2 linked regions of the Sus scrofa genome follow. The protein of the gene in region 1 interacts with the protein of each later gene in a pairwise test. Links are inferred from orthologs where the notes say so. Each region holds a gene or a part of one and is shown in the gene's direction. Other genes may lie near its edges.

Evidence for each region.
Region 2: the proteins of FNDC11 (region 1) and GPBP1 interact in binary tests that used the Homo sapiens proteins (3 or more experiments, as listed by UniProt). The link is inferred for Sus scrofa from reciprocal best matches to the Homo sapiens genes FNDC11 and GPBP1.

Annotation. Positions count from the first base shown.
Region 1 is NC_010459.5:62,556,717-62,560,512, forward strand, and holds FNDC11 (fibronectin type III domain-containing protein 11), read left to right. Parts: upstream 1-1,577; 5' UTR 1,578-1,967; coding exon 1,968-2,972; 3' UTR 2,973-3,245; downstream 3,246-3,796.
Region 2 is NC_010458.4:36,265,547-36,269,358, forward strand, and holds part of GPBP1 (vasculin), read left to right. Parts: intron 1-1,442; coding exon 1,443-1,566; intron 1,567-1,690; coding exon 1,691-1,914; intron 1,915-3,143; coding exon 3,144-3,210; intron 3,211-3,812. UniProt on the Homo sapiens protein: Functions as a GC-rich promoter-specific transactivating transcription factor.

The DNA of each region.
Region 1 (3,796 bases):
GGAGAGGTTCTGTCACCGAACAGACTGGGAGCGGGCCTCAGGGACAGGCGCCCTATCCTGGAAGGGTCCCCACCAATAACCTGCAAGGGAGAGGGGGCGCCAGGGATGTCCTGAGGCTTGAGGAGATTTCCGGCTGGGGCAGAGGTCGTGATGCTTAGGTTCCCAGGGAAGGGAGCGAAACCTCTGGGCAGTTCTGTCCAAGCTGAGACCAGGGCGAGGGACGGGGCTGGTGACTCATCCGGGACAAGCGGTTTGTTCGGTCCGGGTCCTGGGCCTGGGGGGCGCGCCCCGCGCAATCTTCGCACCTTCCTGCAACTCTTCCAGCCTTCCAGTCCGGACCCCCGATCCCGCGCCCTGGCTCCCCGCCCACCCCGCCCCCTCCCCGCCCCCTCCCCGGGCGGTCGGGGCGTCACAAAGTCCCCATGGCAACTCGCGGGGCGCCGGGCGGGAGGCTGGAACCGGCGGCTCCGCACGCACACACAGTCGGACCGCACTGCTCCGCCGGCGCCGGGAGGCCGGGTAAGTGTGCGCGCGGGAAGGCTGGGCGCGCGGGGAGGCGGCCGGGGGTTGGAGGACGAGGGGGTTGTGGCGGAAGTGGGCGGGTTGAGGGGAAGTGGGTCTGAGGCCAGGGGTGGGGGGTGGGGGTCGGGGTGGGGGGGTGTAGGTGTGGACAGGCAGGCCAGGGGCCAGGGCAGGCGGCTTCTTCCCCGAGTTCCCCAGCGGCCCCTCTGCGGTTTTCCAGCTAGAGACTTGGGCCCTGGCGAGGCCTCTGAACTGAAGCCAGATCTGGAGCCTCTGGAGGCGGCATGAATCTGTCCCAGGCTCCAGCCAGCGCAGGACTTTGCCAGGAGTCCAGGGGTCTTGGTCTGGGTTGGCAACTCACCCCAGACATCCTCTCTGCAGTGCCCAGGGCCTGGTCCGCCGCCTCTGCCCCTGGAAGGTCAGGGCCTGGCCTTTGGGGAGGGAGACCGACTTGGGTCCCGAGCCCACTCTGCACCTTAACCGTGCAGCCTTGGATGGCTGCTCAGCCTCTCAGCTCCTGTTAGGGATTCTCCCACCCAGGTGAAGCCACTGGGTCTGTCTCACTGACCTGGAGGCCAGCTGGGACCGGGGACAGCAGCCAGGGAGCCCCAGCCTTGTGGCCAGGGACTGGGGCCACAGCCGTGCCCAGCTGTGGGTTCACCAGGCATCGTTGGACACTCAGCTGGGAGCCCGCGTGGGAGAGGGTGCAGGAGGAGACTCGGGTTCTGGCGTCTGTGGCTGCGGCAAAGCCTGGACGGAGAGCAAGCTAGCGAGCTCTGTAGCCCCATGCACCCCCTCTGTGAGGCAGGGTGCCAAGACCTCACCATTTGGGGCTTTGCTTGTGGAGTCAGCTCAGCAAGGCGCCCGAGGCCCCAGGACACAGCCGGGCCCGGGAACTGGCAGGATTATTCCCCTGGGTGAGGCCAGGGGCCACCCACCTCCCTGAGCTCGGCTCTGCACCTACAGAGAGGCAGGGAGGGCCTGCAGCACAGAGGTGTCCCCACGGGTTCGGGTGCTGCTCAGACAGGATCGCCCTGGGTCCTCCCAACTGCCCAGGGGAGCAGATGTGGCCTCACAGCTGCTCCGTGGGGGTTCCCCGTGGGGGGTTCTGGCCCAGAGCCCACGGTCACTGCCCTGCCCTGTGTCATCACAATCCATCAACAGAGTGTCACACCCTCAAGTCCACTTTGACCCAGATGGGCAGCCTGCCCACTTGGCCCTCCAGACAGCCTCGTTCCAGAAACCAGCCCTCACCCCAAACTCCTTCCCCGCCTCCCACCACCAGCCCCCCAGGCCAGGGAGGACAGAGGGCCCGGCCGGGGGGTCAGTGGGCCTGAAGTCACCCCCCACACCAACGCTGCCCCAAGAGAGCCCCCGGGTGGGCAGCAGAGGCCAGTGTGACTGTTGCAGCTCACGCCCCGCCCTCCATCCCCTGCTCCCAGACCATGAACTTCCAGGTATCAGGCCTGGGCCTGGACAACATGAAGCTGGACTGTCCCCAGTCCTTCCTGGACCAGGAGGAGGAGGCCGAGGAGGCCGAGGATCAGCAGCTGCTGGAGCCGGAGGCCTGGCGCACCTACGTGGAGCGGCGCAACGCTCTGCGCGAGTTCCTGACCTCGGACCTGAGCCCCCACCTGCTCAGGCGCCACCACGCCCGCATGGACCTCCTCCGCAAGTGCTCCTACTACATCGAGATCCTCCCCAAGCACCTGGCTCTGGGCGACCAGAACCCGCTGGTGCTGCCCTCTGCCATGTTCCAGCTCATCGACCCCTGGAAGTTCCAGCGCATGAAGAAGCTGGGCACCGCCCAGACCAAGATCCAGCTTCTGCTGCTCGGGGACCTGCTGGAGCAGCTGGACCACGGCCGCTCCGAGCTGGACGCCCTGCTGGAGTCGCCCGACCCGCGGCCCTTCCTGGCGGGCTGGGGGCTGGTGGAGCAGCGGCTGGCGGACCTGGCGGCCGTCATGGACAGCTTCCTCGCCATGATGGTGCCAGGGCGCCTGCATATCAAGCACCGCCTGGTGTCTGACGTTGGCGCCGCCAAGGTCCCGCACATCCGGCTCATGCTGAGCACCAAGATGCCCGTCGTGTTTGACCGCAAGGCCTCGGTGGCCCACCAGGACTGGGTCAGCCTGCGCTGGTTTGTCACCATCCAGCCGGCCGCGGCAGAGCAGTTCGAGCTGCGCTTCAAGCTGCTGGACCCGCGGACCCAGCAGGAGCGGACACAGTGCGGGGCCATCCCCGTGGCCGCCTGCACCGTCGCCGTCCGAAACCTGCTGCCCAACCGCTCCTACAGGTTCACCGTCAAGAGGGCGGAGAGCTACACGCTGGTCTACGAGCCCTGGCGGGACAGCCTCACCCTGCAGACCCGGCCAGGGCCTCCCGAAGGGCCCGCTCCCGGCCGGCTGGGCAAGCTCAGCCCACCCCTGCCCACACCTTCCGAGAGATGATTTTCTAATATTTATCCACTAATAAAGAGGAGTATAAACGCACACACACAATTAAAGAAACAAACCTGCTTACGTTCGAAAGGCGGCAGCAGCCACGTGAGTGTCTTTCCTGACGCAGCCCCAGGCCCCCCCACTCCTGCTCCCTTCTGCGGGGGGAGCCCCCGCTGGCCGCTCCAGGAGCCCAAAACCCTGGAGCGAGAAGTCTCAGCCCTGGCATGGGGCTGCCACCACCAGGATGGGAGCGGCACCAAGGCTCTGCCCCCCACCCCCTGCCCCGGGGACTTGTTGGCAGCACCCCCACCCCTGGCTGTGGGGACAGTGGAGCCCCGTCACAGTGCCGCCTTGGGACCTGGCGCAGCCTCCGGCTCTCTTTCCTGCCCCCTAGCCTGGGGCTCCCGGGGGGAGGCCTGTACCCTGCGTCCCGCCCCAGCACTGCTGCCCTCAGCGTCACTGAGCCTGCGGCCGAGGCCAGAAGGACATTCTATTTTTTGTTTTTTTAATGAAAATAAAAGTCTTGTCTTCTCCCCCAAAGAAGCGGAAGTTCATCTGCACCCCATCCCAAGGCGGGGGAGGGGCCTGGCAGGGAACCCTGCCTGGCAGGTTCCCCCCGATACAGGCCAGTGCACAGCTCCTGTCGGGGTCACCCCACCCCCCCAGCCCATCGCCCCGGGCCACCCTCCACGGGGTCATGTGACCTCCGGCTCGGCCAGCAGCGCCCCCACGCACACGTCCACTTCCTGAGGGGACGCGGCCTTCGGTCTACCTGCTCCCGCAGCGCGGGCCTGTTCGGGGCGGCCCCAGGTATGCGGGCTATGGCCAAGGAG
Region 2 (3,812 bases), on another chromosome or scaffold:
CTTAACCCTCTGAGCGAGGCCGGGGATTGAACCTGCAACCATAGTTAGATTCGTTTCTGTTGCGCCACGACAGGAACTCCTGAAAGAAATTGTAATACTAGTAAAACTGAGAGAAATGATCAGGGCATTAAAACAAAAAAATGGAGTTTTGAATGTGGCTTTATCAAATTAATGGATTATTATTGGGGAAAACAGTGAGCTTTATGAATAGTTGTGACTTTTAAATGTTTTAATACATTTCTAATTTTTTAAAATCATTTTTACACATTCTTCTTTTGACAGATTTTTAAAAGCATTTGCTTTGGGGAAGAGGAGTTTGGAAATAAACCTAGACAACTTAAAATAGAACTGTAGCTTCATTTGCCATAATTTTCTGATGCTGAAGAAAACCTTGGGCTATTTAAGTCAAATAGTGTGTGATACACAGTATAGCATTTTGTTATAAAAGAAGTACACTTGGAGTTCCCGTTGTGATGCAGTGGTTAACGAATCTGACTAGGAACCATGAGGTTGCGGGTTGGATCTCTGGCCTTGCTCAGTGGGTTAAGGATCCGGCGTTGCTGTGAGCTGTGGTGTGGGTCACTTGGATCCCGAGTTGCTGTGGCTCTGGATTAGGCCAGTGGCTACAGCTCCGATTAGACCCCTAGCCTTGGAACCGCCATATGCCACAGGAGTGGCTCAAGAAAAGACAAAAAGAAAAAAAAGTACACTATAGGGGAGTTCTCTTGTGGTTGTCTCTGCAGTGGCTCTGGTTGCTGCTGTGGCATGGGTTTGATTCCTGGCCTGGGAACTTTCACATGCCACAAGTGTGGCGCAAAAAAAAAAAAAAAAAGTGTACAGTGTATTTGCCTTGATTCCCTTACGCTAGCATTTTACTTTTAAAGACTTGGGTAAATAGAGGAGTTCCTGTCGAGGCGCAGTGGTTAACGAATCCAACTAGAAACCATGAGGTTGCGGGTTCGATCCCTGCCCTTGTTCGATCCCTGCCCTGGGTTAAGGATCCAGCATTGCCGTGAGCTGTGGTGTAGGTCGCAGACGCGGCTCGGATCCCGCGTTGCTGTGGCTCTGGCGTAGGCCGGTGGCTACAGCTCTGATTGGACCCCTAGCCTGGGAACCTCCATATGCTGTGGAAGCGGCCCAAGAAATGGCAAAAAGACAAAAAAAAAATAAATAAAATAAAAATAAAAAAATAAAGACTTGGGTAAATAGAAATAATTGTTGAGTTCTTTAGGAGTGGTGCTCTTGTTTGTGGTTAGGTAGAAAAAAATAGACGAACAGTAGAGTCCATCTTATGAGTTACCAGTACCGAACACATAGGAAATAACCACAAAATGTTCTTAACTGTTTAAAATTCTTTTAAATAAATGAAATTAGAGTACTAAAAATTTTAAAAGTTGTGGTCGTTTTATTTGTACGTTTACCTGTATTATAATTTGTTTCAGTCGTCATTGAATTTTGAAAAGCATTCTGAAAACTTTTCATGGACAGAAAATCGTTATGATGTGAATCGTCGACGACACAATTCTTCAGATGGCTTTGATTCTGGTATTGGACGTCCTAATGGAGGTACATTTTGCTAAGAATCAAGAGTTTTTTTCTTCATATTCTTCTAAGGATATTTTGATTGTGATTGGATCTTTAAGTGTAACTATCTTTGAATTTATAATACTTTCACTATTATTAAATAAAGGTAACTTTGGAAGGAAAGAAAAAAATGGATGGCGTACACATGGAAGAAATGGTACTGAAAACATAAATCACCGAGGGGGATACCATGGTGGAAGCTCCCGTTCTCGTAGCAGTATTTTCCATTCTGGAAAAAACCAAGGACTTCATGAAAATAACATACCCGACAATGAAACGGGGAGGAAAGAAGACAAGAGAGAACGCAAACAGTTTGAGGCTGAGGATTTTGTAAGTTTCTTGTAATTTTAATACAAATGAGATTTCTGTAAGTGCTGTTTTAAGCATCAAGTGTTAGGAAATTAGGACACCTCATTTTCCAAAGTGATCACAATTGACAGTTTAAGTTAATCTTAACATTTTTAGAGGCTTTTTGTTCATAACTCTCTCCTCCCCCAATCTTATTCCTCTTTCTCACCCCCCCCCATTAATTTCTGTGTCTCCCTGTGTGGTCTTTTACAATTTTGGATAAATTTGTCATTTTATTCGCTATAGAATTTTAAACAATCTCCCTTTTTTGATGAGTAAATATCTGCTGAGAGTAGCTTTAGAGTATATATTAAGTGCTCAGCTCAGTTTTCTGTTTAATACCCTGAGCATCACTTTTTGAAATATGAATCTGTAAATTGCTTTGAGAATGAATTTGTTAACTAAAGCATCCAGTGGTGAAACCTAATGGAACAGTTGAGTGACAGTCTGATTTTCTTGTCCCTGATCTTGACCTTATGCTAAGAAAGGATGATTTCTCATATTGATGCAAAGACTACATCTCCTTGCATTTGCTTTTTTTTTTTTTTTCCCCAAATTCACACTTTTTCCTCAGGTAGTTGGGGATGAGAATATTTAAAGACACTTCCCTTGTTCTCTCCAACTTGGAGTGAGTGTAGATAGTAACCATTTTAATTGTTAGAATAAGCGCAAAGTAAGGTTTATGAATAATTGGAGTCTTTTTCTCCCCCCCCCCCTTTTTTTTTTGGATGCATGTGGAATTTCCTGGGCCAGGGATGGAAACCAAGCTGCAGCAGTGATAGTGCTGAATCCTTAAACTGCTGAGCCACAAGAGAACTCCAGTAATTGGTTTTTAATAGTTAAGAGTTCATTATATTAGATTTTTTAGTATGGTTTTGAGATTACTTTTTTATCTTTCTTTCTAGGCACACTCATGGCATATGGAAGTTCTCAGGCTAGGGGTCAGATCCGAGCTACAGCTACTGGCCTACACCACAGCCAAGCAACACAGGATCTGAGCCTCGTCTGAGCTACACAACAGCTCATGGCAATTCCAGATGCCCAATCCACTGAGCGATGCCGGGGATCAAACCCAAATCCTCATGGATCCTAGTTGGATTTGTTTCCACTGTGCACAAGGGGAACGCCGAGATTATTTTTAAAAGGATTTTTTTTTCTTAAATATGAGCATTTTAAACATTTGTTTGATTCTTTTTATTCCAATTTTTTAGCCGTCTTTAAATCCTGAATATGAGAGAGAACCAAATCAGAATAAATCTTTAGCTGCAGGTGTATGGGGTAAGTAATTTTTGATCTATCTTTGAGGGGTATAAAATGTTATTTTTAGGTCTCACATTTGTGTTTTTTTTTTTTTTAATAAATAGGCTAGAATTAAACTTTCTCTTTTAAATATTTGTTTTTGATGTGCTGATCTATAAAAAAAGGTAGCATCTATCTTTAAAAAATACGATATTGGGGATGGAAGAAGATCCTAATTTGGATAGCTGATTTATACATGTTAGTACTTTTAAGGCCACTCAAATATGAGTTTTTTAAAAAAAAATGATTGTAAGTTAAAATGTAATGAATTGATGTCATTTTGAGAGCAGTCTGGTAATCTTAAGAAACAAAAAATTTAGTTAATTTGTGGTTTTGAAAGTTGAAACTGGAAAGATAAGTACTTTTAATCATAGTGTGATACAAAGTTAATTTTTTTTAACCAATGAAAATGGTTATCCATAGTATTAAAAGTAATTGTATGGATCACGCCTATGGAACTAGTCTTTCAAATTACTTGCCTTTTTGATTATCAAATCTTAATGACAGTTTTTCTACTAATAACTCCCTTTTTAAAACTGCTGAGAGTTTAATTTGATAGCATCTTACAGAAGATTAAACTG